Linked DNA regions of Styela clava. The protein of the gene in region 1 purifies or fractionates together with the protein of each later gene. This does not show direct contact. Links are inferred from orthologs where the notes say so. Each region holds a gene or a part of one and is shown on either strand. Other genes may lie near its edges.

Region 1 (16,394 bases):
GCCAGGGATACGCAGATCTTTCTGCTCTGTGCGCTTCGTCGCGACAACAGTCGTAACTTAATATGTGAAGAATTTGAAAAATCCGATTTTGCTCAGTGCTAAACTATAGGATGATTTTAGGTAGATTTTAAGCCTAAATTGAAAAATAGACATATAGCATGCAAAGCCACGGAAACAGGCTAACGTTTACCACCATGACCGAATGTCTGTCTAGTCTAGTTGAAACATGCATCTCAGCGCCGCTGAAATTTTTCTGATCTGCCAATGAAACTTACAAGTCGATGCTCGATGCAATTTTTTCGTTCGTGATCAGCAGAATGTGCATCTCATTACAACGACGCTCGCAAACACAAGCAGCAGATGCTGGTCCCAACTAAATATGGGAAAGGTCCGAATTCTGACCGCCAGCTGGGTAGCTCAGATCTGGGGTAGGCTATAACCTTTTTCGAAACGGCATCACACAGAGCTTTACTACATAGACACAGGTCATATCATATAAGACGAAGATAGAAGAGCAGTTTTGCAACTTATATTGATTTCAATCGTGATAGATCCCGAAGATACGGCGAGTTCAGAACTATCATTCTACATCTATACAGCTCGACTCTGAATCTCAATTATCAAGAAAAACTGCACTTATAAATAACGAACACCTTAAAAATTATATTCTTAAACATGAATAATTAAACAGCATAATCATGCAAAAACTTTTTCACAAATGAGTCAATGTCTCCAGATAAGAAATTAGCCTTGTTTTTAAGGGTCTTGATTTTTGATTGAATCTCAGAGAGGCGACTACTTTTATCTTGCATTTCCTCGGAATCTGATTTCAATTCTTTGGAAATCTCATCAACTTTGTGGCAGATTTGTGCGAAAGTGGTTGAAAGTTCTTGTTGCACCTGAAACAAATATACAAATATGTATATTTCTTGTATACTTGCGAGAAACTTGTAGGGTCGCTAAAGGGAAGTGCGTCTCATGAAGTTTAAGAGCCTGTGTGAATTGGCAAATTACAGATTAAGAATCTGAAAAGTGGGTTGATTCAATACAGATTTCAGTTCAAATCTTCCTTTCTGCATCATATTATTAAAAACCATCATGTCTATGTAAAAACTCAGGCTTACCTGATGTGAACAATTCGAACTTGTAAAGGTTGTGATTAAGTTGAGTTTTTCAGTCGCATGTTCAACAAATTGACGTTTTAACGCATGTTCTTGTGCCCTGGAAGTCCATGTTAATCTTTCATACAAATACAGTGATCCATATGATGCAACAGTAAATACAATAGCTTTCCATCCAATAGTTCTCCACAAAGCATAGGGAACCATTACTGAAACAAATAATACAAAAATTACATTCAAGTATATTCATAAACGTCAATCTAGATGTCGAGAGTTTCAAAATCCTTTCCTATCGGGGATTGTTTGGATTACATGAATAATATCATTAAACTTGATAATAATGGAATGAATATTTTGAGTCTCACTTCACAACTTAAACAAGAGGTTTTGCTGAAAATAGTAATAGGTCAAATTTGCTACAGAAATATTTCTTTTTAAAAAAAAAAAACTTATTGATACTTACTGATTCCTACGAGCATTCCAGCTGATTGACTATTATTATGCTTCAAATAACTTGCAGCGACTGATGTCAAAATGTCTTGCAAAGATAAACTATCATCTGCTTGTTGTCGCTGGTGAGCAATGACCTCTCCTAAAATGAAATTAATTAAAATACGGTGATACTTCAGTGATCGAACATAATTCGTTCCGGATTGGTGTTTGACTACCGATTTGTTCAAGTAGAGAACTTTTGGCCATAGGAAACAACAGCAAATATATTCGGCAAATATAAGAACCCATTATAAAGCAGTATTCCGTTTATCTATAGTCAAATCCTGAAGCTTAAAACAAACATATTGTACATGAAGAACATAAACTTTTATTTAATTTACCTGTTCCAGATATTGGTCTTGGAACTTCTGAAGGAGCTATTGCTTTTCGTGAACCAATAAATCTGTTGAACAAAAGGGATTCATGGTGGTTACAATAAGAAAACACAATGAGTATCGAGAAATATTGCAAAAAATAATAATGGAAACAAGTTCAACCTGCAAGAAGCCCTCTTTGTTTGAATATTCATTCAATAGTAAACACCCGGAGTTCCATGTATGGAGTATTGTCAGGTGTTGAATAAATGACAGTGTAAGATCAATTACTATTAACTAAAAGCTATTTGCAAAATCAAACAAATGAATAACTGAAACGAAATGTTCCGACGGACTGCTATAGACTATAAAATTTTTTTAACATATCCAAAAATTTTTTTTCTAAATATTAGTAGGAAAACTAATATGAAAAGTAATAGTATTCAATTATTAAAGAAAAGCTGATCAAGTTGTGGCCATCATTAAAGCAGTTTTTATGAAACAATGCAGAATATTTAAGGATATGAATAGGAAAATAATTTCAACAAAAGGCTGAATAAAAATAAATCTACCTTCCCATCAGACATTTGAAACCAAGAGAAAATTTGAACTCTATATCTTCCTGAAAATCTTGACACAAACTTGCACAATTGATATCATATGACATATCAAAAGCTGAATTCTGTGCTTGAGATACCAAAACCGGTTCTGAAGAATAAGAATGACATAATGTTGCATAGTTTATAAATCGCAAAAGCAAATTAATTTTTGACATTATATTATATAGACTTTTGACTCAATTGTGTATGGGCGTGCTTTGGCCAATAGAAACAGAGATAGTTCAGAAAGTTTTTAATATGAATTGTATTATGATGAGATTTGAAAAAATTACCTTGTTCACTATTATTACTGCATTCAAATAATGGTTGAGCTTCATCCAACATCAATTGTTTACTTTTGTTTATTTGTTTTTGCAAAGAAGATGAACATCTTGCCGATAGATTTCTTCCAAGAACTGAAAAAAAAAAAATTAAAAATCAAACTAAAATGGAAATCTACCAAATAGTATAATAAAGGCAGTGGTTCTTAATCATTTTCGAAATACTCCATCCTTTGCCTATTTTGAATCTATTTATTCCTCCTTCACAGTGCATAAAAATTCTGTTTCTGTTTAGTTATTTTACGACCTGTGGTACGTGTAATTTATTTAAAGAATAGGTAATTCAGTGGTGGCGAAGATTAAAGCCTTCCAGCTCTGACGGTAGACGACGCAAATTCTCTCGCGATTCTGCACGCCAAAATACGTTGTTACTGCATATAATTGATACGCTGAAACTTTGCCTGAAAGGCCAAAAATGGATGTAGTGATACATAAAATAGGGGGATCCTTGGGCCATTGTTCCCCACCCCAAAAGGGGGCTTTGTTGGTAGTACATGGGTAAAAAATACAAAGTGGTATGCAGTCAGTAAAAGGTTGAGAACCACTGGTATAACGTAAACTTTTTAGATTTCTACCTTCCTCAACATGTCGATACAATTCCGCTTTATAAACTTGTAGAACCATCATATTCTGATGGAATGGTTGATCAAACTCATCAACAAGTAATGACAATCTTCTTATTTCATCAGACATTGCTTGACGAACTTGAAATTCTGTTTCGCTGACCAATCGTGTAATCGCTTCTTTAGCTTGTGCAGTGAGTAACTTTAATCGCTTCTCTGAAAAAAGTAATGAAAAATATCTAAGGATTTTCGTTAGCTTAACATGATTTTTTTGAACAAAATCTGCATATTTGCTTGGCCAATTTTATGTACTCGAACATTTCGAATAAAAGAGTCACAGTCTCACAGAGACAAAACAACACACCTCTGTTGCTCACTGAAAGCTCAAAACTGTCATTTGAAAAAGGGAGCTTTTGGAATAATGATGGTTGGAACCCATAAATAAACCCACAAAACTAAAAACTTTAAATCACAGCAGGTCTGGCGAATCTCATTCCAAGTGAATGAGCAAATGATAAATTATTTCTATATCAGCTTGAAGAATCCTATAAGCTTGTATTCACAATGTACGGTAGTTATTATCAATGAGATCAACTAAAACAAAAAACTGTCTGTGATATTTTACAATTGTTAAGTAAATATATTAATAAACATTCATCATATACCTAAAAATGTTATTTGGTTTTCCAGTTGTTCATTGTATTCATCACATTCCTGTTTCATTCTGGATGATTCTTTCTGAAAATATAATGTGAGTATACAATCAAGTCCATGCTTCTGAAAACAATTAACTAACTGGCTGACTAATCCCATACCCGACATGGACTGGCAACCGGACGAGAGGTCGTGGTTCAGAATACAATTAAGCCGCCTTATCGCCTTTCCTCCCTTTCCCAGGATAAATATGTAAATCCCCAATCCAATCGAGTATTATAGAGAGAACGGAATAAATTATTGAATATTCCATTTGTATCAAATTCTAATATTGTTTACAACAGAAACACACAGCAGAGGCAAACAAGCAGTTTGGCATTGAGCTAGTCATTCAGAATATTATTTCAAAACTTACCAGTAAACTCTCACATTCTGTCAGAAGACTTTTCATTATATCTTGAGCACATTGAGTATGTTGGTGAAATTTTGTTCTTGTTGCAGATCTCGATATACATTCCTCAAAACTATGTTCAAATGTGCAGAATTCAATCAATCTTGCTTGAAATCCTTCAGCTAGCGCACCACCAGCTTCTGGCATTCCTGAAATAATATCATCTAACTTTCTTAAAAGAAATTTTCGATTCTGAGCACCATGTTAATTGTATTAACCAGAACCTTTCATTTTGCCAGATTGTTTATTGGCAAATTTACTTGAAACATTTTAATGATTTCGATGGGACCCTGCAATGAAAATCTCATTATAGTGGGTCTAATAAAATTACAGCATCAAATTTTAACAGAATCATCAGACATACATAGCTATGCTTTATTAAATGAAATTATGCTCAATTCTGACATATCATGTATGATTCATTTAAACATCATCCTATATTACATAGAAAAAATTAAAAACCTTGTAAGCGTTGCAATCTAGCATTAAGGGCTTCTTTTGCAGAAATAAAGAAAACTCTATCTTTAGCTTGCTGTGGGGTAACAACACCTAGTTCTTTTGCCAAAAATGATATTCCACGTTCCAGATGTTGTTGTCTCACCTATATAAATTGCATACAAACTTCAGAATTAACATCTTTCTAAATTGCTGATTTCAAATTTTACGCCTATCAATTCCTATGACATTTTTTGTCCATATTAGGGAAGTGTAATTGCCCATGGTTAGAGCATCAGATTAAACAATATTGTCATTACAGGTTATGCACTGCTTCAAATTGGGTGTAGGCAAAGACAAACAAGAAAGACCCCTGTCCTTTCAAAAAGCAATATACTTTTGCATAAGTGACTGCTAGTACAGAGAATTGTTCAGAAGTGAGGTAAAATATGACTTATATAAACAGAATAGTTGTCATCATGTTTTTAATAAATATTCAACATATCATTTCTGGTCAGGTAGGGCAAGGTGGAGAATCTTTTTCAAATCAGTTTTCCAAGCATTCATAAGATGGAATAAATCATAGACAGAATTTATTTAAAATCTATGCTTTTCAAAACAATTCATATCACTCCTGGGTTTTTGAATCCCTATGGCCGTGGAAAAAAGTGTTAAATTAGCATTTTGTCACCCATAGAGCAGAAAGCTTGTTACACATGATAATTATGTACACACTTACAAATATAGGCTACTAACTATTTTGCTGTTTTCACACCTTCACCTCAAAAAAGGCTTTAGAAAGAATTAGATGATAAAAAATAAGTAGCTACTACTTTTGGGGCTAGAATCTTTTCAGTTGGTCTTGCCTACCTAATTTAATAAATCCTTGGTGAGGTATCAGTGATGGAGGTTGAATCTGAGATTTTTAACCTTTTGCAACTACACAAATCACTAGATCACAAATATGAGGTTATGAATGAAATAGTGAATACTACATTTACTCTGATGAATTAGGTGTTTGACATATTTACAGACATTCCGAATTGCTCAGCTCAAAATAGAAGCTCAAATTATAGATAATTTTGAACATATCAAATGTTACCTGAACCGTAAACAAGATGGAAAACTAATATAACTTCGATCAAGTCCTACCTGTTCCATAAGGTCAGGTTCAGCAGCTGATGCATCCCATCTATTGTTGAGTATAAATATATTAGGCTTCGATAGACGTTCGTTTACTTTATGAAAGAATTTTTTCTCAGCCAACATCAAAGTTGATTCAGCATTTGCAACAAGAATGAAAACATCTGCATCAAGGCAGTAACTATAAGAAAAATGTTAAGTAGGACATTTCAGACATTAAAAAAAGTATCAATATCACTGACTACATAACATTTACAACTGTAAAATGAATTGCATTGCATTTGTTGTAGAAGAGTCATCAGGAAAAAAATAGAAAAGATGAGTAAAGATACTGTGTCTTTGGATAATAACTAATTCACAAGTTTACAGATTGTGTTTAATTAATTAATGTTTAGTACACAATACAATGGAAAAATTGCTTACGCATCGATCCAACTATCCATATCTTCAGTTACGTCAATACCAGGACTGTCAACCAAAACAACTTCATTTTTCAATAACGAACATTTATTTTTGGGCCAGCATACCTGGAATATGAAATAAATAACAGCGATATAGTAGGAAGTATAACATTAGAAGGACGTTTGATAAAAACAGAAATATTTAATTTCATAAATCATAAACAAACCTTAATCAAACTGTCATTAGACATGCTTTCCTGACTGAGTGCATGTCCTAATTGTGATACGCTTTTAACATTACGCTTCTCCTCTGATCCATCACAAAGTAAATATGGTCCATCTTTGTCATCACATCCTTCTATTGATAAGAAGCAATTGGTCGTATGACCAAGTCCACTCGGCAATATTTTATCCCACAGCATAGCATTTATTACAGTGCTTTTTCCATTGCTAGTTCTTCCGAAGAAAACCACCTATAATTATATTTAAATAAAATATACAAAAAAGTCAGGCTTTTACCTTTTACACAAAAATTAGCAACCATGCTTGGAATGAGAACAGTAATTGACTTATAATTGAAGTTATGATATGACATACAAGAGTATGAATATGTATAATATCTTGTTGTTTCATTTCACAGCTTCATGAGAATAGATAATGTTAGACAAATCACATAATTTATCCTTGAATAAATACCTTCATATGATCTCGGAGTAACATCTCTTTTATTCCATTTACTTTTTGAGCGCATGTTTGAATATGATCTACCAATTCCTGTGAAAAATCGCAAAAACTAAATTAAAAGCAATAAGATTGTAAGAGGGCTAATGAGATGCATCTAGGAATGCAGTCAGGGTAATATACTTCAAACCATGTTCAGTGTTCGTCTCTATGCTCTTGGTGGGGATATTTCAAAGGACTGAGATGATCGTAAACTGAGTTAACTAAACCTATGTCTGTACCGGTATGTACTCAATATAAGAACCAGTTGGAAAACTTACCTGATGCACAAGTTCATTCTCTTCAACATCCTTAATTTCTTCTACAAAAGTATGGAATTCACTGACATAATTTCCTATGTCTCGATAAATCCCATTTATTTTCTTCTTGGCATTAGTGAATAATTTTAATGGTGAAGACGCATCACCTCCGCCGCCAAACCCAGACTTCAACATAATGCCTCAATAAGCAACTGATTTTGGTGATTTCAAATTTAAATGCTACAACAATGGCCTATATACAGATATATAGGCTAAAACAGTCACAAAACACAAGCGGCTATGAAATCCATGAAAGCTGAAGCATGCTAATGCTGTTTTGGTTAATCTGAGTATTTCAAGAGTCCTATTCCCCGACCTTTGACCCCGAAAAAATCTTCCTATACTTTACTCAATGACATTAAACAACATGATGCGCAACTCCGGCATTTTTGTCCGAAGATCGTATTCGATAGCACGCTCCAATGCACATACTTGACGAGACGAAAACGAGCGGATGTGTGCTGCTTTCAAGGCGTAGCACGAATGGTGTTCGTGCCTGCTTTGACAGTTGTTGTCGATTTTAATGATATTTTGGAAAGTTAAGGTAAAAAGAAATCGGAAAAAGGTAAGGTAAATACTATTGTTGTATATCACACCCGGGCATCGCACTGTTAAGTACATGTGGGAAAGTCAGCCTTTGTCAAATACTACGAAGTTATTAATTCAGTACGGTACGTGGTTGCCCATTTGCCGAAATTACATATTTACTTACCCCTTATGGTTTCAAATAGTTCATGCACCTCCAGTTTGATTTTTTTAATCAGTGAGGATATATACTCATTGTTGATTGCTGCTCATTGTAACATACTATTGCGCATTCACTTTTATTTGCGTATTGAATCAAAGTGTTAACAAGTCCACCTAACATTTCACTCATACCGGTCTATATTGTATAGTCTGATCTCTCAAATATTTGGAGCCACGAATGCTTGTAATTTTCTGACTAAACCCTTTTATTAGTTTGTTTTATTGACCAAATTCAGTAAAATATTTTTTACATAAAACATGAGATATTGGATTCATTAGCTTTTCCATTCTAAATCATATAGACTGCTTTATTTATTCTTAACGAAAATTAATAAATCTCCTCTCTTTCTTCAGATGTGAAAGTTGTGGACAAACCTGTCTAAGCATTGTGAGACTCCTGCAGCACAAGAGGCAATAGCAGAAATAGTAAGTATATCAATCAAGAAATTAAGCCGACATAAAGCAAAACTTTCAACTATTCGTCTAATCACAATTTCCTATTATTTATTCACAGGACAACTATAGCAGAAGGGGAGATATCAGAAGTCTGGCGACATATCAGTGACATGCAAAGACACTTGACCCTCCGGTAAAGTTGTGTATGACCCCTACATCCTGCAGGGCTTGAGGAAAATAACTAAAAATTGCAAAGCGTAAAATTACATACTCGGTCTTATTTGTAAAAAGGCACAAAACACGCCAGACACTTAAAACAGCTTTGGAAAATGAGGATTACGGGTAACTCACTGCACCTGTGTTATATTTGGTTCATCAACTTTTGGTAGTACGATAGAAGAAATTCCGGAAGGGGTATAATCATCATTCATGATAAAATACTATCATATATATTTTTGGACAACTTCAATCTAGACCAGAGATCTCAAACTCGCGGCCCCAGAGAACTTCGAGTGCGGCCCTCGAACGCTTAACAATAATTGTAATAGTATTTTTTTTTTTATCTAAATGTAATAGATTTTTCAAACCTTTTAAAGTGAAATTGATTATTCACACAGAAAACAATTTACTGAAAGTAGTTTTGGAATATGATTTTTTTTTGTCCACATTTTGACCCAATTAAGAATACACATCAAGCTTGCAAAAGAATACTTGAATAAACACTTGAGTGATCAAATTAAACGCAAAGTACATGAAGAAGGTGGCATTTTCGAAGAAAATGGGAGTTGTAACTTTTCTGCTTTTCGCAAAATTCTGAAGCACATTGTTTAATTTGTCATATTTCCATCAATAAAATGAAAAAACACAATAAGCTCAGCAGTCAATATGACAAATTCGAAGACCAACTTCGAACAGAAAATTTCCATGTGTTTGTATATTAATATATTTATACAACGACTTAGTTACTAAAAATCAATATCAATAATAATTCAAGCAATCCTATGCCACGCAATGTGGTGCGAAATGTCTTGTCGAAAAAATCTGTCATTTGTTTTTTTACTGATCTATACATGAAATGATAAAAGTAACTTTTTTGCATTACTGGAATTAATTAAACATTCGCAAAGATCCAGATTAACCCATGATCATGTGGCCTCGTTAGTTAGAGTTGGTACTATAAAATCATCTCGCTATATTAAATACAAAATCGTTGCTAGCAAACCAATTCAGCCACTCGAAATATATTGGCCTTCACAAAGCAATGGAGGCAAAATTGAGAGTTCATGAGCTATGAACATTTGTTCTTTTCTTTGTCTTGAACTTTTCATACTCCACAGCCCCTATTAATTTTTTTTAATTTTAATTACCATGTGATGGTCATACCTATCTTTAACTTGTATTTTCTGTCATGATGTATTATCTCAATGTGCCAAACTATTAATTAGTGTGCATATTTTGCTTCCAGATGACATAAATGTATTGTCTTGTTTATTACCTCAACTTGGAGTATTGACAAGAAAAGGTACCAGTAAATTAGATAAAAAAATTTTTAACTCTTTGGTATAATCAGAATTCACAATCAATAGGAATTATAAACAGCCAACCATCAATGAGAATTATATGCAAAATCACTCATAATAAATTTGTCTAAAATCGGAGGAAGGCAAATAATATAGGTAGTTTCCATCCACACAAGCATTTCAAGAAGACTTGCTCGAGCCAAACTAAATGAGCATCGTCAGGTGGTCGGTAAGGCTGCAAGTTGAATTCAGCCCTGCAACCTACCGCATAGAAAATAATATTAATTAGTGGGCTATGAGCTAAATTCCTAAATTTAAACAAACCTATCTACGATGCATTATGTACCAGCAATGTTACCTACGATTAACTGAATATGTAATATGTCTAATAAATTCACCTACAAAAGCAAGTTCGATAGGTGCAAACTTTGTGTTATGGAATTGTATCACAGCACAGTTTTGTATGACACCCTCTTTAAATGAAACTTCAATGATTAAGCGCAAACATTAAAATTACTAACTTTGAACTTTGTGTCATTATCTGCAAAATGTTCCACACAAATCTTTCCGCTATCGCGTTTGTAATCTTCTCTGATAAAAAAAAACGTCTATGATGTCCAGAATTGCTCTTTACAGCTTGCCTGCCATTCCAGCTTTCCAAGTGAGCAAAACTTCTTAGATATAGAGATTATTTTGTTTCGTTACAGACGCAAAAAGACAGGTACTACACGTAAAAAAGACGCCGAGTAGCAAAAGCGAGCGGAAAACGGACGCGAAAGTCGACGAGAAATATGTGCATTGGAGCGTATCATGAAATACAATCTTTCGCCTGTAGTCTTATGGAGTGACGTCAGAGTTGCCTATCATGTTGTTTAATGTCATTGCTTTACTATTGTAAAATTTTCGGGACTATTTTAAGAGTGCTTTTGCGAGTTGGCGCATGTAAAATGAAGTACCGGTGTGTGCTTCAAACCATCAATATGAATCATCGCATACAACAACATGTTTTTTAAAAGTACCGGTAAAGAATGTAATAATTTTTCTACCCTTGATTTCTATACCGGAGTGTAGAATATTATCCAGAATAAACTCGATATTTCAGAGTACTGTGTTTACTTATAACTAATCCCATACCCGACTTGGAATGGTAACCGGACGAGAGGCCGTGGTTCGCCATATGGATAAGCCGTCTTATCGGCTTTCCTCTCCCCCGGGATAAATATGTAAATCCTATCGTATCCTTCATGAACCAAAAAAACAAAATACATTGTATACACTAGGGGTAGGCCAAAGAAAGATAAAAAAAAAACTACATGAAAGGTCATGAACTCAGGCACTGAATCAAATCAACATAAAATATGCAATATCACTACAAAGAATTTTAGCCTAGCCTATCACAGCTATTTTTACACAAATTTTTTATTATTGAAATTAAATTACAAGAGAGCTACGCCCAAATATATGGACACGTCTGTTCGCAGTACAGTACGGCTTACCGTACCGTCAGATCACAGTCTAAAATATATTCACACCAAGCGAAGCAGTACAGTAGGACACAAAATGGCGTCCGATGTCTGCAGAACGTTTAATGACGTCATAGCAAACAAAAACAAAGCTCACAGAGCTAACAGAAGTATTTAAAATGAATAAAAGTAATAGCCTTCTGGGGAAAAATTTTATCTTCAACCACTGCAAATTTCAAAGCCATTGGTCCAGTATTCGAAGAGAAAAGCGATTTTTTTAAAAATGATGGAGACAAATAATGAAAATAATAACAACAAGAGAACTACACCCAAATATATGAACACGTCTGTTCGCAGTACAGTACGGTTTACCGTACCGTCAGATAAAGTCTAAAAATATATTCACACCAAGCGAAGCAGTACAGTAAGACTTCCAACTTTCGCTAAGGCGGTACGGTAACGTCCCTGCAGAAAAGAAAACCAACATTATTGCAATACTGTACGGTACAGTACTGGTAACGTAGTAAGACAGCGTAAGGAAAAAATCGTAGCAAAGTACCGTAAGGACTTCGTTACGAACCATCGACGTTCGATGGCACGTGATCAAAAAGAAGAGGAGTGTCGGCTATGCGTCCACAGAACGTTCGGTGACGTCATAGCAAACAAAAACAAATCTCACAGAGCTAACAGAAATATTTGAAATAAATAAAAGTAATAGCCTCCTGGAGAATAATTTCATCTTTAACCAGTAAAAATTTCGAAGCAATAGGTCCAGTAATGAAAGAGAAAAGCGGTTTTTTAGATTTTCCACTAGATGTCCAAAAAGTGTCAAAGAACAACAACAACAACAAGACCAACATAATATTGAAACGATCGTTATGTCCACTACGTGTACAATAACAAGAGAGCTACGCCCAAATATGCGGACACGTCGTTCGCAGTACAGTACGGTTTACCGTACCGTCAGATCACAGTCTACAAATTATTCACACCAAGCGAAGCAGTACAGTAGGACACAAAATGGCGTCCGATGTCCACAGAACGTTTAATGACGTCATAGCAAACAAAAACAAATCTCACAGAGCTTACAAGAATATTTAAAATGAATAAAAGTAATAGCCTTCTGGGGAAAATTTTCATCTTCAACCACTAAAAATTTCAAAGCAATTGGTCCAGTATTCGAAGAGAAAAGCGATTTCTTCAAAGCGTGTCAAAGAACAAGGACTCTAAGAACAACAATAAAAACAACAACAACATAATATTAAAACGATCGCTATGTCCACTAGACTATTTGTCCAATAACAACAAAATTTTGAAACGATCGTTATGTCCACTACGTGTCCAAAAACTCATAGGAAGACAGAGTGATCATTGAATTACATGATTTATATTTAGGTTTCCGAAACACAACAGAAAACTAACGAATAGAGTTCGAAAACGCGAAAACGAGGTATTGTTTACGACCACGCTTGACCATCTGTCTGAGTGAGAAAAGCGTCTGAGCGGATGCGAAAAGGGAGCATTGTTACGTCACTTTTTGCATCTTGCTGATTGGCCAATGTCACGAGGTAAACAAGGAAGACGATGCTCGGGGAAAGGTCCATAGCGGCATTTTTGATACTGGTTTAAAGAGTTGGCGCTTACAAACTGTTTCACATGTTCGAAACAATCATTTTGTTTATAAAAATATTTAACCATGTGCCGCTTACAGCTACTAATAGATACTTTTAAGCCTAGTCTCCTGCAGCTTCTTCGTAAATAATTTTTGAATATTGCGACTAAACTAAAGCTTTTTGAAGACATACTGCCAAGTAAGTCATCCAATTTACAACCAATTTTTGAAAAAACAACTGAAAACTGACAAATAACACGCAAAACTGCGAAAACGAGGCAATTTTACACTCGTACTTGAATATCTGTCTGAGCAAAAGAAGTGTCTGAGCGAATGAACAAATTTCAATTGTTACGCCAATGTTGACTTACTGCTTGCTGGTCATTGTTACACATGCTCTGTAAAATATTCATAACACACTAAGGCAAATCTGCTAGTGTAAAGAGATTTATTCGGTTTATAATAACTATATAGCCGTATGTTAGCACAAGTGCATATATATAGGTTAGTATAACCACGTGAAACGCAGAATCCGAGCCCCGTAAAAATTTTAATAAGAGACTTGCATTCTTGTGATTGCAAAGTCTAATTAGCGATGGCATTTTTCCATCTAACGATAAGAAAACAGAGAAAGTATGACTTCCTGGATTGTATTAACTATATTATTTCCATTTTTTTTTTAATAAGGAAGAAATTGATTTGGTATGAATCAACTCCGGATTCCATCATTTTTGCCATTCCGTCAAAACCAGTCTCCTATATTATCCATGCAAGAGATAATGGAGTAAAAATGTTGGAATTCGACAGTGAACTAGAATTTCACAAAATCAAGAAACATTTCCCAGATTCAGAGTATGATTCCCATTTTTAGCTTTTGTATTAATCTGTATACAATTTTAATTGAACGGAAATTATTTAATTATTATTATAAAGGTTTTCATAAAAATCACAATCAAGTAACGACGTAATCAAACATTTAGAATTTAAAACATACGCAGCAGGATAGAATGAAAAAGGACATATAGGTAAAATCATGGCAGAACGAATCGCGTAAATATATTTTAATTAGCGTAGCTGAAAACCGAATAAATAATATTTAACTACTAGTTTGTACGCTGTTTCATTTCAAGGTTGGTTTTACAAATAACTGTTGAAATTTATGTTGAATACATTGTATAGCTCAAAGACTGTAATTATACTTAGATTTAAATTCACATTGATGTAAATGCAAAATTGTGCAGAAATATAAAAATAGCTAGCATTTGAACATTAACAGATAATACGTCGATAGGCCCTCAGGAATTCAATAGTAATTTCGATATAATTTGTAGGATGCTACATATGCCTATATTTTGTGGTTCCTGAAATCCGGTTTCTGGTTTTTGATTGACCCTTTAATGATAAATTAGCAATGGATATGAAAAAATCTGCAATACTTATGCAAAATAATGTTATAGAATAAACATTTTGAATGATATCTTTAATTCAGCTTTCATGTTGCTAATGAATGTCTTGAAGCAAACTCATACCAAGAAACGATTAAACAAGCAAGAGAACTGTTTGATTACGGAAAAACATTTGAAATGAATTTTGATATGTTAAGTATAAGAGGAGGCTTTCCTGCACTTTTGGAATCCGCTTTGTCCATTGAGAACGTATACAAATTTAAACTTTACTTTCACCAAGTTGTTTTTCCTTTTCTGTTTGTCACTTCTGATGGCTTATATCAGCGCTGGCCAACTTGCTTTGAACCGCGATCGACTAAAATCTTGAAAATAGATCGCGAACGACTGATCGTTAATAAGGTCATATACACAAAAGCAAATGATGGCTGAATATGCAGATAACTGCACACGCACATACATAAAATTCCACCGGTGCCAATAGGCTCGGCTCTGAGGGCGCATTTTTAACGAAATCGCCACAAAAATTTGTAATTTTTATGTTTCATTAACTTGATTATGTAATTGTACCCGGAGTAAATTTTCATCATTCATTTAAGATTTATTCGAATCATACAATTTAGATCAAAGGCCTGCTTAATTTTTAGTTATAAGAGTTGGAAATTTCACAATAAACCATGCTAAGTATCCATATCAACTAAACAGCAAAAATAAATATGCTCAAACCATAAGCGTTACATGACTGCTCAAATTTCAGTAACCAATTTACAATTTCCTCTAAATCCAATTCTTCGATCGCTTGGAATTGAGCAAAAAAATTGGGCATTCTGATGCCACTGCTACCGTTGCAAATGCACTTTTATCTCACTACTCTAGGAATGGAACAATAGCTTCCGCATACGGCGGGAGTTATTGTAGGATCGTTTCTCTGCTTAAACACGATATTCGGAACGCAAGGTTTAAGGCAATTTTTTGGGATATGTTATTAAATCCACTCAACATCAGACGCTATCGACTACTCGAGAGGTGGCGATCGACGTGTTGGCCACCCCTGGTTTATATCATCTATTTTCTCTCTGCTCCTCACTTTTCCATTGGTCTACATTTTTTTTTTTTTTTTTTGATTTTAGACTTTTGCATCACATATCCAAGTTTTTACTCCTCAATTGAACCGTTTTCTTCATTGTTTTTTGTATTATTTGTACAACTCTTCATGTTTGCATACACCTAATACACCAGTAATCAAAGAGAAAAGCGACACTTTCATAACTATGTCAAAGAACAAGAACAACAACAATACGATCCATAGGTCCACTACGTGTCCAATAAATTTGAAGATTTTGTCATATGTTTTAAATTGTAATGTGTCACCCGTTTAACAATTGCAAAAAAATGGTTATGAATTATTACCCAATAAAATACTGCAAGTGCCTGAACTTATTTCAACTTTGGGTCGAAAACTTCAGACAATACGCTTGGACAGTCAGTCATTCAGTTTGGTGTGTCGTTTTCGATTTGCTCACTATATTAATGGAATTAAAATAAATATATATATATACTAATATTTATGAAACTTTCAGATACAATTTTCAGATTCAGGGCTGTTATTTATTGTTTTGATGGAAGTCTTTAACTGTAATATTACTCGTTGAAAGTTCAAATTCGTCTCCTTGTGAAGACGACTTAGTCCCCAATAAAT
Region 2 (16,594 bases), on another chromosome or scaffold:
CTGGCGACTACTAACGCGCCAAGAGCTGCTGACACTCGAAGAATTAAAAACTACCGATATTCTTGAAAAAAAAACTTTGAAAATAAAAACTTGTTTGTGTGTGGCAGGTGCACTAAAAGTAAACGAGTGAGAGACTCACAGCCAACTGAGTTTTTCATTTTTGATTCCCAAGTTCCTAAAAGCTCAGATGAATACAGTTCATTATATTATCTGTAAAATAAGCACAGGGAAAAGTATTCCAGTGTTCCAAAATGGTTTGTATTTCACAATCATAATCGACACCCACCCCACCATGGCCCCCGCGAGGTTAACATATACTCCTCGTGATTTACACTGAACCATAAAATTATCAAACTATTTATTCGTTAGAAATTATGTTATGAACTGTTCGAAATTTGTTTCATTTATTTAATCTTTGCAAATCTGACCATGAACAGATTAAGTCACAATCATTTGCACAATTGGACTCCGCCATAAGGAGGTCGTTCTCGATATCTGCTCACCAAATCTGTCACAAAAGACCTGTTCCCACTTAAGAGATAACAATTCCACACAAAACCATGCAATTCCACTCAAAATTTGCACTGCTCTCTATTTTCGACATGACAAACACTTATCGATGTTGTTCTTTTCATTCTATTAGGCAAGGTTTTGCAGATTTATATATCTGCTGTCCTCTGAACAGGCGTGTATGAAAATCGCACAGGCGGCAGCAGACTTTCTACTCTCAAGAAGATCAATATCGTGATGCCATTCTACATTTCCCCATTGTGAAATCTGAAATATATATGGGACAAGATTTATATATTTATCCTGGTGGCGAGAAAAGACGACAGCCGATCCGGTTACCACTTACCAGTCCATATTAGTTGGGGAAAGCCATCCCAAGATCGACCAGTGATTACGTGAATCACATTATGACGGCGATGAATCTAGCAATCCTTGCACATAAATATCCCGTATACAATAGTACACGAATTTGGACTTTACAGAAATTACAGTTGCACTAAGCTTTTTTCAGATCGGTTAAACCTCTCATAAAAAGGTGTAGATGCTAGTGCATAGTAGTTACATGAGACGTGGTCCGTCTGAAAATTCGATTTTTCAATGGTTCCTAAGTTCAACCAACTTAATAAAGAAAGTTTATTCATGAAACTTAATTTCCCCTACATTTTATCGTTTCTTATTTTAAACGCTGTGTATATGAATCAATAAATTACTTTTACCGTTCTATGACGTTTATCTCCTGTTATAGTTTCTGCCTATATTCTTACGTAACAATAGAGAAAGTTACTACCGTACTTGCTGCAATTTTGCGAGCTGCAGTTTGTGTATCTGCTGAACCGATTTTGGCGAACATTTGCCCTTATTCCTAAGTAATACATGTTTACAAACTTTAAAAGGCATAAAGTACACATTATCGATCACAAAATTGAGTTTTATTTTCTTGTTTCCGTGCAAGTACGCAGGAGTTTCCCTGATAATTTGGCGCCGCACGAACAAAAGGTTTGGTAACCGCTGCCCTACAAGATTTCTGCCAAATGTATCTACAGATGGCAGATCTTAAGAACAATTCCTGCAGGTATAGTGTTAATAATAGTCTTAAATAGTAAACATGCTGGCTTGAACATATCATCACTCTATTCATTTATTTCTTCAACCAATCCAATACGAGCATCATGATCGAATATGCAGATACATAGGATAGGATTTACATATTTATTCCCCGGGGAGAGGAAAACCGATAACACGGCTTAACCGTATGGTGAACCACGGCCTCTCGTCCATTTACCATTCCATGTCGGGTATGGGATTAGTCAGTTATTTGTTTTCGGAAGCATGGACTTGATGGCAGAGGAAGCCGTAACCGTCCAGAGGTTACCGGTATGTGAACCACCCTACCACCTACATTATACAACGTTAAAAATTTATAAATATTTTCTTGTTCTTAAATTGCGAAGTTTAACTGTTCACATGAGAGGAAAACTGATATAAATAGTCCACCTGATATTCCTGTTCCAATCGAGATAAACTCACGGCTTCTTCAACTGTTATACTGCGTTCAACCAATGCAATAGATAGCAAAAGGGATTTCAGTGTGCTGATGAGCCTTTCAAATCCTGTAGAACATACACCTGCATTATTAAAAACATAATTTACAATGCCAAAAAATAATGCAAACAAACTCACCTGTTACAGCCCAAAAATTATAAGATGAGAGGTATTTTGCAAACGTATTTATTGTTTCTTCAGGCAAATGTGGGGAAGTAAACCCTGATGTGTAGTTGAGTTCAACATTGTATTTCTGTCGTGCCCAGTCAATAATTTTACCCCACTCTTTAACTTGATGATCTCCTAAACCAGGAGGCTCGTCAGAATGAAATCTTGAAAAATATATGTTTATTCAGAAATCAAATTTATGACCCAAACCAATACTAAATTCAAAAATGAAATTATCACTCACAATACTGTATCAGTTCGCAAGAAATTTAGACAAATGTCAACCAAAGTTGCTTTATCTTCACCATTTGGCTTATCCATCGCATAAAAACATAAATTGGTCTGTTGAAAAGAAGTTAAAACTGAAAACTCTTCTTGTGTGCTGTTAACTACAGACCTACCGTGATACTTTATAGAGATCCAAAGACGAATAATACATCATAGCAATATGTAAGAACATTAGGGTTTACATAAGAGACCTATCATACGGGTACTAGCTTTACCATGGACTACCATCACAAACCAGCATACTATTTTGATCTGGAAGTGAAACAACTAGAAAAATTTCTTCACTCATATCATAATTGATGTTATTTGTAGTTTAAAACTTTTACATACATTTTACAAAACCCAAATGTACATTAAAAATAGACATCGAGCACAATATGAACTAATTTACTAACTATTGGCATCGTGTGGTATTTCAGTGCGTCTCCCTGGGAATCCCATTCTAATGCAACAGCTTGAGCCAGTTGTTCACATGGTAGTCGCAGTACAATGCCTGAAGGACACTTCAGTTTTCTTTTATCGAGGCTCACATCATATCCATCTTCAAAAATTAACAATGATATTAGATATATGAACATGACTTATAATTTTATTTTTAATTCATCTTACCTGAATCACATGATATTGTTACCTCTTTGAAAAATTTCTTTCTTCCTATAAAAATATATAGATCAAAATGAGTCAGAGAAATCACATTCATGAATTTGAATAGATTCCCCATTGATATATAGAGAACTAGGTGAGCTGTCTTTATTAACAGGATAAACTTTTTATGGTTGGTGCTGGTGAGAGCAATGAACTAATTTTGTAACTCGAGCCAAGTTCAGAACTTGGATTTGCTCAGTTTTCATTGTTCAACAGTGTTATGATGAGATTTATTTTAAGTTTATTCATTATGCACTTGCTTTGTATATGTGAAATAAAATAATTACCACATAAAATAAAGTCTGAGATAAATTTCAACATGTGAAGTGAAGTATCCTCCATTACAGAGCATCAAGAACTACTACATACACCAAGCTGCTTTTATGTGACTGTATTGCTGCAAACAAAAAAACCTTAACTCACCAGAAACACTAGTGTGTCGCCGCAGAATGCTTAAAACATTACAGTGGACTGTCGTAGAACACGTAAATGGCGCGGTTAACAAATTCCGGAACAACGCAGCCATTACCTGACTATTGAAGTATTTGCATGATTTGACAAAATAGCAATATATTACGAACAAAGAAAGAACACAATTCAAATCACTAAATTAGCAACATTCATATATATTCATTAATAGGATAGCAAAGGCACATTTAAATTTCTAGTTAAAACCAGAAATTAGTTTATATAATACAAATGCCACAGGCAGTAGTGAAACTTATTATTAAACAAATACCAAACGCTTGGCCATTTCACAGTGATGAGATGAATATGAAAATATTGGAATAAAATAGGATTCTATATCTTGGCAGGGGGGATGACGAGCTTGGAATAAAAAATAGATTCCCAATTCTTAAATCACATTATTACCAAAACGGTCTGAATTTTTTGCAAACTGTTTTAAATTAAGTCATCAAATCATATGCTATATCTTTATTTCTGAATTCAAACTCATTGAAAGGACATTGCCTTGTATGTGTTCTTTCTTAAAAATGACCCTATTTGTAACATTTTCTATTAATGAGATTATGATTTTAGACTGCAATTAGAGCAGTAGCTAAGTTGATTTTGTATCTCTGTCCTTCTCTTCACAATATCGGATTTTTCAATTCATGAATACAGAACAGAAAAGCTATGAAGCTTTTACAGAACTCAATTCATGAATACAGAACAGAAAAGCTATGACAAATGTTTTTCTTTTTAATAATATCCAACAGTGCGATAGCAAAACTGTTTCTAATGCCCAGCATAGTAAGACAATATATTCTCAACTTATAGAAAATCAGTTAAACCAGTGATCTGCTTGGCAATTATAATTCCATCGTGTAAGGCAATTCCAACACCATTCATACAAACACATTTTACAAGTCATATGCATACAACCACCACTTCTTTCTGTTGGAACTTTGCAATTAGGACAGTTTTTCGAAATTTCCCTGATGGTTTTTATGCTTTCGAAATAGTCTCTTACCATAACACTACTTCCAGCCAACAGAGGAAACTGGGATTCACAGTCTGAGGTTCCATGATATGATTCACGACAATTTGAACAAAACATATGCCCACAATTTGAGCAGGTAATTTTTGTGTTGTTCTCAAAGATGGCAGGTATATCTGGAAACAAGCCAGTTCCACATTTAGGATTGGGGCAAATCATTCCCTTCATTTTACGAATTAAGCATTCTTCCGCAGAAAAAGCTTGATACATTTGGTATTCATCAGCCCCAAGTATGTGAAAAAGGTGTGTATCACACATAAATGAACCTTCACACCCCATCGGGCAGGTAACAGAATACCCTATATTTTCACAAACTATCATTTGTCTATCACGAAGTTTTGTTCGAGAATATTCTTCAAAACATGGCAAACACATAACATGTTCAGGGCTACAAGGAAACGTCACGACCGGATTACATGAATCAAGGCAGGTAAGACAGAGAACATCTTGAATGTTGCTGATAACATTTGGTAAGGATACAGCAGTTTCAGAAGGTGCCGGACTCCGACAAACCGAGCATTTGAAGTAGAATTCTGCATCACAAACATCACCTCCACATTCCTCAGAATAGCATTGGCCAAATATTTTTCCCGCCTGAAGGACATCACTCCATTGCTCAGGCTCACATTGTAGAATAATACTGTCCTCTTTACAATTGGCACACTGAACACGCAGCTTCCCAGGTGTAACTTTAAAGCAAGTATGCTTGCAATAAACATAAAATTGAGGATGTTTTGAACATAATTTTTCTTCATTCAGGTAATTCTGTAACTTGATGAAAGGAAAATGAGTATGTTGACGATGTGGCCATATTCCTGTCAAATATGAATTTCGACCCACATAATATTGTTGTCTTGATATCAATTCTTCATCTTTTATACGAGGGTAAGAGACAACATGCAGAGTCGTCTGAGAACTAAGGGTATATTCATTCAGTGTTTTATCATTTTGCATTGCCTTTCCACAGAAAATAATTTCACACTCTTCGAAAGGGATATTAGAGTCTTTACAAAGCATAGATTTGACATCACACACTTTTATATTCAAAGGCAATTTCATTAGTCTAGAAGTCTTGTCTTTGTGCAACATGAACCTAATATCCAATGCATTGGTAGTGCACATTGCACTGTTTCGGTAAGGTAGTCTCGAAATTTCGGATAAATCTTAAGCCTAATAATACAGTTCTGCAGTTATTAGGTAACTAGATATTTCATATTTGTAAGATACAGAAACAATAAATGACATAATTAAAATATCAATGAAGGATAAAACACTGTAAAAATTGGTCATGTGATCACATTTAAAATTTCATAGCTAAGATCGGTACCGTACTGATATATGGTTCCTAATTATCGAAACCGACCCTAAATTAACGAAACAGGGTAGAATATCCACCTAACCAACCCCTCTCTTTCTTATTTGGTTGAGGTGTTTGCATTTCACTCCAACCAAATTCCAACAATAAATCATATTTTAATTAATATTAATCTAGACTATTCTTCACTGTTCAGGTTCAGTCCCATTTATTACTGTATTAATATGGCTGTATGGTATAATTTGGTAAACTTTACAAAATAAATTATTTCCCGAGCATTGATTTCCTTCTTTATTTTCGTTAAAATTCCAATCCAATGGTTGGGTCTCATGTAGTTTCGTACCTAATATACTTCTAGTGGGCGTAGCATGACAATTTTTTCATGTATCAATCCTAACCCCCACCTGACTACACCATCCAAAAATTACATCAACACGAAGTCACAGTGACGTAATAGAGCCCTTCAAACTATACGAACTGCCATCCGGCATCCAAGACGTGCAAACGAGCACCCGAAATCAAACAGTTATTTCTCTCGTTTTCCCGTCGCAACGATTCCAATAGGAGAGAGATCGATACTGTCAGTCAGTTCTTTATCGTCGGCGCCAATGCCATTTCGGGTGATCGTACGTATATTTGGCAAGCTCAATCCTAACCCCCACCTGACCACACCATCCAAAAATTACATCACTACGGCGCCACAGTGCTGCAGTGACGTAATAGAGCCCTTCAAACTATGCAAACTGTCATCCAAGACGCGCAGACGAGAACCCGAAATCGAAAAGCCATTTCTCTCGTTTTCTCGTCGCAACGATCCCGATAGGAGAGAGATCGCTGACGTTAGTCAGTTCTTTATCGTCGGCGCCGATGCCATTTCGGGCGATCGTACGAGAATTTGGCAAGCTATGATATGACGTGTTGTGACGCAATTTTTGAATGGCGTAGTCAGGTGAAGGTTAGGATTGGCATGTCGAAAAATTGTTATGCTACGCCTACTAGAAGTACCGTACCGTACATTAGGTACGAAACTACACGAGACCCTGTGAGCTTTGGTACCGGTACGGTACGTTACCGCCTACCGGTATAGCCAAATATCTTTATTATATAAATGTACAGTGTCAACTTAACTTTACTTGGTGTACTGTACCTGGCTTTCTTTATCTTTGCGCACCATGCAGCACTTCTTATACCGCGTGGGTGGCTAGGTCACTTTTAAAATCCCCCAAACTACTTTCAGTTGACGTGGGGAATCCCCCAGCCGTTTATAGTCACTTTGAGTGGACCTTTGGATCGTTCTCATATTTTTGGTAATTGGACACGTTAGTGGACGTAACGATCGTTTCAATATTATGTTGTTGTTCTTGTTGGACACGTTAGTGGACATAACGATCGTTTGAATATTATATTGTTGTTCTCGTTTTTCGTCATTATCACTATTATATATTCGCTTTTTTCTTCGAATAGAGGGAGAGAGCTCCATTATTTGTCAACCAGAAAAAACATAAATACATTGATAATAATAATAAATATAAAGCACTACGAATAACGTTTCTTCGGTATGGGCTGGAGGGAGCGATACGACCATACGGTCATCAGAGTCAGCTCCCAACATGTTCGCACCACCTAAAATAAAAAGTATCAAAAAACCAGTACCTTCTAAAATTAATTTGAAAAAATCCATTAGTCTCTAAAGTGAACAATAGTTCACCATGTTCCCTTATAAGCAATCTTTGAAACATCTGCTCGTAGATTGTTGTTGTGTTTCAGGCTGCTTAACAATGATCAAATGAAATCAATATGAAAAAAAATCACAAATATTCTGACAAATCTTCCATGTTAAATTCGAAGTGATCCTATGAAAAAACAAGAGAGCTACGCCCAAATATATGGACACGTCTGTTCGCAGTACAGTACGGTTTACCGTACCGTCAGATCACAGTCTGCAAATATATTCACACCAAGCGAAGCAGTACAGTAGGACTTCCAACTTTCGCTAAGGCGGTACGGTAACGTCCCCGCAGAAAAGAAAACCAACATTATTGCAATACTGTACGGTACAGTACCGTCCGCAGAACGTTCGGTGACGTCATAGCAAACAAAAACAAATCTCACAGAGCTAAAAGAAATATTTGAAATAACTAAAAGTAATAGCCTTCTGGAGAAAAATTTCATCTTTAACCAGTAAAAAATTCGAAGCAATCGGTCCAGTAATGGAAGAGAAAAGCGGTTTTTTAGATTTTCCACTAGATGTCCAAAAAGTGTCAAAGAACAACAACAACAACAAGACCAACATAATATTGAAACGATCGTTATGTCCACTACGTGTCCAACAACTCAAATTACCGTATCCTTGTCTGAACCTAATGTTTATGAATGAAAAAAAATCCATTATCACACCCTTGATGACTAATATATTTTGATATCTACCTCAGTACCACACTATCGATATGGGAATGAAGCAGTCAGTGATTCGACTTCACCTAGGTCCCGAATAGGCTTGGAGTAAAACCAAATGGTTCTGGTGAAACTAATGGTGTGCATCTGTGCTTTGATTTTTTTTTTCTTGTGAAACTTCAATAAATGTTTGGTTATTTAAATCACCATATATATATATATATGGAGCACCACTTTTTTAATGGGGTATTTCACACATTCCCTTTGAATAAGACTCTGAACAAGCAGGTACCCATATCCACTATGTAATTTGAAAAGACTGGATTGAATACAGCTATTGTATAAGAACGGTTCCATCTTCTGATAAAGAGCTTCACAACTTCCCCGCAGCAAAGCAGCAAAAAAGTTTTTGTCACTTGGTTGTGCTGTGACATCATGCAAACTTTAAGAATGGAACGTATAATTTCATTGCTGATATATTTGGTAATAAAATCAATTCACGTTTCATAGAATATTGAAGTACTTTTCTGCTATTAGGAAAAGCGCATTGAGAAGAACGCGTTATTGCATTAGGAATGGTGTATTATTAACAATGAAAGCGCAATGGGTACAATGCAACGTCGCATTAGGAATGGCGCATTGGATGGTACAATATTAACGACTCCTCCATCCATTTTTATAAACCATTTTCGTTCTATATGTCTCGCCTTTTTTTTTCTGAGAAATCTGAACAAGGCTCTAAACAAGCAGCAGCTGGTATGTAGACAACTATTATGCCTTTTGTGGAGGTATCTTAGGACGTGGAAAACTTGAAATTGGATAGGCACAGCTATCAGACAAGAATATTCTCATTTCTCATTCTCATGATCGTCGTGACTGTGACAACAAGCCTTTCGCATTATAGATAGATAGTTTATTTCGGAAACTCCATAACAAACATAAATTGAAAATGGAGAATTCTGGAGGGCAAGCAAAACCCATAAAAAAGTTTAAAACATGAGAAGTATCTCAAGTGCCTGCCCACCAGGGCAGTATCGTATTTTCTGACATTGTTCAATCAGTTGACCAAACATGATCGAGCGACGCAATTGTAATACATTGTCAGTTGTAAACATCAATTTGATGTTGCACTAACCCGTAAAAATGAGAGTCCACTCAAGGATTTATCAACAACTCGAGCGCAGGGCGGGTGTATGTGAATGAAATATCATGGTGCACCAACCCTAATCAGATTTGACGTTGAAACGTTTTAGAAAAACAGTGCCAAGAAAACGATTTCTGTTGTTATGGATTGACCCAGGAATTCTTGTACTTATACCTGAATTGGTGAGATGCAGTGTCTTGCTATTGTTTAACACGGCGATATCAACATTCCTTTGCCTGCTTTTCCAAAACACTCGCGAAATAGGCATCCAAAATTTTGCAATAGCAAAATCTGGGAGAATTTTTTTGGGGTCAAGGGTCAGGGAAACAACTTTTCTCTCAACTTCGATGTTTATGCAGAAATCAGAATAGATACATCACAAGTGAAAAAGAATATTTTTATTTGTACCATACCGGTATCACACCATTTCAGTAATGCTGTTTTGTGACAGTTTAGAATTACTAGGCCTATATTACTCAGCTCGGCTTCCTCCACCACCAAGTCCATGCTTCCGAAAACAAACAATACAGTAAATCTAATCCCATACCCGACTTGGAATGATAACCGGACGAGAGGCCGTGGTTCGCCATATGGATAAGCCGTCTTATCGGCTTTCCTCTCCCCCGGGATAAATATGTAAATACTATCCTATCCTTTTGTATCTTAACATATATAGACTATCTGTATATTATATACCGTAATTTCAAAGCTTACATTGTGCAAGGATACCGTATCGTAATAAGTCATTGCATTGAAGTGTGAAAAATGGGAGAGGAGGTGGATTTTTTCAATTTTCACAGAGCCGCAGCAAGCAAATTAAAGAAGTAGGATTTTCACCCACTTTATAATTTAGATATAAAAGTAGGCCCCAATATGGTATTACCGTACTTTTGCCAGCAGGTATGACTGAAATGTAAACAAAATAACAATACCATATTCAGATATTGGTTGTCATTTGTCAATCTACTTTTATTTCTAAATTATAACAGCATATTGTACTAATATTACTAAGTCATTTGATGATATGCATTTTTTATAGGCCTACTGATATAATAAATATTATATTAACTGGCAAAATATTGGTTGTCATTTGTCAATCTACTTTTATTTCTAAATTATAACAGCATATTGTACTAATATTACTAAGTCATTTGATGATATGCATTTTTATACTAATATAATAAATATTATATTAACTGGCAAAATCAGCTATCAATTACTTTTTCATTATAAAATGCTTGTCCGAGAAATTCTGACTTTGGCAGACAAAACATTTGTGTGAACATTTGTAAAATTTGTGATATTTGAGCTTCTCAATGAATTTTTATTCTTGAATTCTTGACATATCTTGGATATTTTGATAGTCGCATCAGTTACTTTCAAGTGGTTCTGTGTTGCATCGGATAGACAAACATTAATTGTATTTTTTTGTTTTGTTATAGGAGATTCTTGAAAAAACCGAATGTTGCAGAAGCAAGTAGTGAATTTGAACAGCTGAAAAATCATTTGTCGAGGATCGAGTGCTTTCCTTATGCTGGGTTCACAGCAATTGCTAGGGCCAAGTAATGTGAACCGTTTTCAACCTATGATCATTTTTAGCGATCTTTTCAGTTTTAGACTCTATTTGTGTTTTTCTATTGAGATCCAATAGTTGACATTAACTTCTAAACCTTTCAGATGTGAGCAAGGATTGCTCAACCAATCTGGTGAAGTAGATTCACTTATTGAAGCTGCTAGATTTTTTCTAAAAGCAGACAAGGAAATAGATGAAATGAATTGTCCAAACTTTCACGAACATTTGGAATGCTCTATGGGTTGTTTCAATATGGCTATTAAAGTAAGTTATATTGGTAATATTGCACTTTTAATACTTCATTATTTGTATGACTGGTCATTTTTTTTTATCATACTAGATTTATGAAGAAAACGGTATGTCAGTCGCGGCTGGGAGTGTATGCCTTGAACAAGCTGAATTTTACAAAGTAAGTTTAGCGTACATTTTGCTTTCTTTGGAATGTTTCATAGCCTACTAATTTTATTTTTCGTTTCAGCAAACTCACAGATATGATCAAGCTATTCAGCATTATCAAAGAGCTGTTGAGTACTTCTCTGGTTTGCCATCTCAAGCTATATCCACGATGGATAAAGTTATGTTTTGTCAAACACTAATACGTAAGATACTATATTTTTATAAGATAGATAAATGGAACACATAAAGGAAACTGAATGAAAAAATACAAAAGGAGAGTTCCAGGAACATGTTTCTTGAGGGCACATATCATATTTCAGAATGTCGACTAAAGGCAACATTGATTCATTTTTAGGTGATTTTCGTTCTGCCTTGAATTCATCAATGGATATGATGAAATTAATCAAAAAAGAAGGTGCCTATCATCTAGATCGAGTTACTCCTCTTGGTATGCTGTTTCAATGATGTTTCATTTTATTGAAATCATTAATCACAACATACTGTGTCACCATAATTGTGTGACCACTGACCACACCCTATTTGATGACTTACTCCATTTTGGTTTAGGGACTTTTGGGGCAAGTGGGAGAAGAACCCCTTTATTTACTTACCCTATAAATCATATACAGGAGTAAATGGGCTACCATAAATTCTATCAGCAAAAGCCTATGTTATATTCAAGTAAGTAAGTTCAAATTTTTCTAGTATATATTCTCATATAAATTTCTGTCTCTCATTTCAGGATGTTACAATGACTACTATAAAAAATGTGAAGTAACTAGACTTTTACTTCTATTGTTACTTCAACCTCGCCCTCTAGCAATTAATAAAGATTATGCAGAAGTATTCCAACAGTATACATGGCCTGATGAGGAAAGCATGGCATCTGGATCACATATTTTAGACACATTGCTTGGAGAAGATTTATTTATTTTTCTTCGGTCAGTTGTGGTGAGTGCGATTCAGATTCATTTATTATTTTGTTTTTTTCTCTATTATCATCTTCAAAACTGCCTGATAGTTTGTAGTAACAAATCCAGATAGATTCAATAGACTCTTATTCCGACTCCTGGCAATTCATAAACAAGATGGCGAAAATTTTCTTTTTGATTTCCAAACTTTTACATAAAAGGTGATTTTTTTAGCTATGTATAAAATTGTATATTACTTTTCAGTAAAGTAATCCTTAGTCATTTATTTCATTTGCAGATGGCGTGTTCAGGTGGAGATATTGATGCAATAAAAACTGTTCAAGATGGTGTAAAAGATTATATATCTGTTGAACAGAATGTCCTATTGCAAAGGATTGTTGATGAATATTGTCACCCAAAGTATTGAAGTTATATTTTTCATCATTGTTCAAATGGGTGCTCTTGAGCAGAACAGTCCACAATCTTTAAAGCTCAATAACTTTCCCAGTTAAAAGTATAAGAATGAATTGTGAACCTTCAATATTGATTCGCTATTGGGAAAAAGGGCAAAACTCGACATTCTGTCTCTTGCTGCAATATTTATGTGGTCCGAACACTTAGTATGTGGCAAATTAAAAGAGGTAAAATAATAATAAAATGTTTTTAAACCAGGTTTGGCATGAAGCATTCCAATGTGCAATGATATATAAGTTTCAAATATCTGATCTATTTTATTTAACAAACCTGTAAATGTAAATAGTCAGATAAATGCATACCGGTAATTAGACGCTGTATAATGATATACTAGGTGGAAATTCGAAATTGAATATTTTTATAAAATTTGTCCATTGTTATGAAATTTCAAATTTCCGACATCAACAAAAATAGTGCCTCTCTGGTATGAACCTTGGAAGCGATGTTCATCAAAGTGATCCAATAAAAAGTTTGGGATTTGTTTTCAAGTTTCCTTCCCTACTATAAAGTGGATAATACAGTGGATTGGGTGGGGGAGGAGTCCAGGGATCTTCTCTCTCATACCGTAATCTTCTTGGCTTTCCGACCCTCAACAAGCACCACCAACACTTACCGTTACCATCATGTCGATGTCGGTTAACTTTAAGGCAACTGGATTTAATCGTGCAATATGTCTTGTTCAATAAAATAGAAAAAAAGCAAATTTGGGTGATGTGTTTTGTTACATTATGAACCTTTCCCCGACCTTTGTCCCGGAAAATTTCTTTCTATGCTTTACCATTGCAAAATTTTCGGGGCTATTTTAAGAGTGTTTTTTCGAGTTGGCGCCTGTAAAATGGGGTATGTGATTCAAAACATCATTACGATTAATCGCATACAACAATCTCTTTTTTAAAAGTACCGGTAAAGAATTTTAGCCTAGTCTATCACAGCCATTTCTACACTAATTTTTTATTTTTGCAGATAGGATAGGATTTACATATTTATCCCGGGGGAGAGGAAAGCCGATAAGACGGCTTATCCATATGGCGAACCACGGCCTCTCGTCCGGTTACCATTCCAATTCGGGTATGGGATTAGTTATATTGTTTGTTTTCGGAAGCATGGACTTGGTGGTGGATTCGAACCTGCGAACCCACGCAGAGTAATTACTAGTGCGGTGGCGAGCGTATTCCTAACGCTTAGCCCGTTGAGCCACACCGCCGCGCCAAATAAATTAAAACTCCTAGGAAGACAGAGTAATCATTGAATTATCTGATTTTATATTTAAGTTTCCAAAGTACAACTGAAAACTAACGGATAGACAATAGAGTTCAAAAACGTGAAAACAAGGTAATGTTTACGACCACGCTTGAGTGAGAAAAGTGTCTGAGCGGATGAAAAAAAGGTAGCATTGTTACGTCACTTTTTGCATCTTGCTGATTGGCCAATGTCACGAAGTAAACAAGAAAGTCGATGCTCGGGGAAAGGTCCATAGGCCGTCGATTTTGATCCAATCGCTGTGCGCCCCAGGTGTAAATCGCGGAAGTCTAATAGCTATAAGTATGTCTGATCACTGGCTATCCAGTTCAACAAGTAAAATCTGTTTGGTGTCTAGGTTTCTATATTTCAGAAACCACACTGAGTTTGGTGTCACTGAGTGCCCTGGTCAAAACTCCGCTGATTGGAGACAAATTCTAAGCAACCGTCATTTATTAAAATTTTTATTTACGTTAGTTTTAAATGAATATAAAATACACTTCATAACAAACAGACATTGAATAAAATTATACGGATTGGGGACAAATTACAATTTATCACGTTTGGTCCATTAACAGCAGTTTCATAAAGTTGCTATTGTCTGATAATAATTGATTAGAAGCTATGCTAACTAGAGTTGTCTCGAGAAAAACTGCATCAAGTTCCCTTGAAGTTTTTACCTTAATCGACAGTGTAATTTGTGAAAAGGGCTTAAACGAAAACAAAATATTATGTACAATGGTTCGTATAAACAAATCAAATATATTTTTCAAATCAGCGAAGAATTTGTAATAGGTTGCAATAACACATTGTGTAACATCTTCGGAATATGTCATTTCATACTTCATTTGGATAAACTTTGAGATCAATTTGGTTTTCGATGAGTGCTTTAACAACTGGACCCTTAACATTATGAACCTTATTCCAGTTCTAAACCCACGAAATTTTAATTTATGATCATGACAGGAAAGTCGAAAAATTCAAATTCTAGCACAGTACCATATAGGTTACCAGCCAAATTTAATGTATATATATGTGTAAAGGCCATTGGCAAGCTGGCACCGGAGCGGTCGACCACAAACAAGGCCGTGAACGATTTCAAGGTGAAACAGCGCGTAAACAAACATTATCTGATTTTACTTTTATTAAGGCAATGTGCACACAGATGCTGATTTTTCATCGTGTGATTCGTAAGTGAATTTCTCTGTGTTATCCGAATTTGAATCGGTTGGTGTTACGGGCACGGCAACTGGCATCGGAATCACTCCACATAATTGCTGATGATGAGAGATGGGTGGATTGTCATAACGAAACTGGTCGTGATGATCTGGCTGCCTGAAATCCACCAACTGCCCCATTCTATGTATGCCATCTCGATGTGCGTTTGTATCGGAAAAATCTGTTGGGCTGTGGGATTCTCCACTGTTACTGAATTCAAACCCTGGAATGCAATTGTAAGGCGATTCTTTGCTCTCGCATTTGACGTTGTTGTTCAAATCACTTTGCATTCCCATTTTCTCGTCATCATCGCTATTTGAACTTTGCTGTTTCACAGAATCCGGATATGTATCAGATGAAACTTCTCCCACTCGCTTCTTACTGATTTTTCTCTCTTTAGCTCGTCTGTTTTGAAACCATATTTTAATTTGTCGCTCGCTTAGGTTTAGTTGTATTGCCAACTCTGCCTTCCGACGTATTGTGATGTACCGACTGAAACGAAATTCTTTCTCCAACTCGAGGCGCTGATGATCCGAATAAACAACTCGATATTTATCTTTGGTTCTCGTTTTCCCAGTTGCTATACACATGTAAAAAAAACAGAATCAGGTCAGATAGACTTTTAAGGAATTGCATTGTGATAAACAGAAATAAGATGTGAAAGTGTACAATGTTGTCAAAAAACGGCAATGAAAAAAAACTTTTTACTTGCTTGCTAACAAACACATACTATATGTATGTTGGTACGCATTATTAGGTTATATTTTTAATTAATGTATATTAGGCAAGGAATAAATTTATTTCATTCCCATATTATACAGCTAGTGACGGATTTTCCCTTATGCGCAAGGATGTAAACTTTCTCGACATATCTTTCTAAATTATGACAGGTAATAAGACTAAAGTAAATTTGCCGATAGATTGTGAAAAAACTATAGTTGGAGTGGTACCCGATTTATTAGTGAAAAATTGAGACGTTTCACGTTAAACTTATAATAAATGTGGTCATTCATTTTCGAAATTCAGTGTGCGGCAAATCGGCAAGTTTTGCTGAAGACAACTTGTTATGAATGTCGTTTTGTTACGTCATCACTTGAGAAAAAAGTTTATGACCCCGGTGTGAAAGCAGTCCACTTCAGTGCGTCGCCACAATCAATTTGCCCCGAAAACTAACGAATGACCATAAAACGTAGAGGGTCATAAACTTTCATAATAATTATTCGCGTCTGTGAAAGACTTGCCTTACGCGTCATTAACGACTGATTGCCGCTGCCCA

What was found.
Region 2: the proteins of mitofusin-2-like (region 1) and E3 ubiquitin-protein ligase parkin-like purify together in Drosophila melanogaster (affinity purification with western blotting; 3 studies listed by BioGRID). This does not show direct contact. The link is inferred for Styela clava from reciprocal best matches to the Drosophila melanogaster genes Marf and park.

What each region holds. Positions count from the first base shown.
Region 1 is NC_135255.1:2,486,318-2,502,711, forward strand, and holds mitofusin-2-like, read right to left. Parts: upstream 7,862-16,394; 5' UTR 7,690-7,861; coding exon 7,516-7,689; intron 7,289-7,515; coding exon 7,211-7,288; intron 6,988-7,210; coding exon 6,742-6,987; intron 6,641-6,741; coding exon 6,537-6,640; intron 6,295-6,536; coding exon 6,123-6,294; intron 5,137-6,122; coding exon 4,998-5,136; intron 4,700-4,997; coding exon 4,500-4,699; intron 4,169-4,499; coding exon 4,096-4,168; intron 3,647-4,095; coding exon 3,443-3,646; intron 2,943-3,442; coding exon 2,820-2,942; intron 2,636-2,819; coding exon 2,500-2,635; intron 2,017-2,499; coding exon 1,955-2,016; intron 1,714-1,954; coding exon 1,585-1,713; intron 1,331-1,584; coding exon 1,125-1,330; intron 900-1,124; coding exon 684-899; 3' UTR 637-683; downstream 1-636. UniProt on the Drosophila melanogaster protein: Mitochondrial outer membrane GTPase that mediates mitochondrial clustering and fusion.
Region 2 is NC_135263.1:16,300,401-16,316,994, forward strand, and holds E3 ubiquitin-protein ligase parkin-like, read right to left. Parts: upstream 6,180-16,594; 5' UTR 5,777-6,179; coding exon 4,439-5,776; 3' UTR 3,680-4,438; coding exon of another isoform or gene 3,577-3,679; 3' UTR 3,576-3,576; downstream 1-3,575. Other genes in the region: ATP synthase mitochondrial F1 complex assembly factor 2-like, read right to left, coding at 640-777, 2,005-2,120, 2,191-2,384, 2,465-2,562, 2,904-3,049, 3,118-3,162, 3,577-3,679; 40-kDa huntingtin-associated protein-like, read left to right, coding at 10,273-10,331, 10,950-11,069, 11,185-11,344, 11,421-11,489, 11,559-11,679, 11,832-11,924, 12,219-12,427, 12,686-12,814; uncharacterized protein LOC120341225, read right to left, coding at 15,246-15,898. UniProt on the Drosophila melanogaster protein: E3 ubiquitin-protein ligase which accepts ubiquitin from E2 ubiquitin-conjugating enzymes in the form of a thioester and then directly transfers the ubiquitin to targeted substrates, such as Paris, Marf, Opa1, Miro, pnut, Septin1, Tom20 and porin.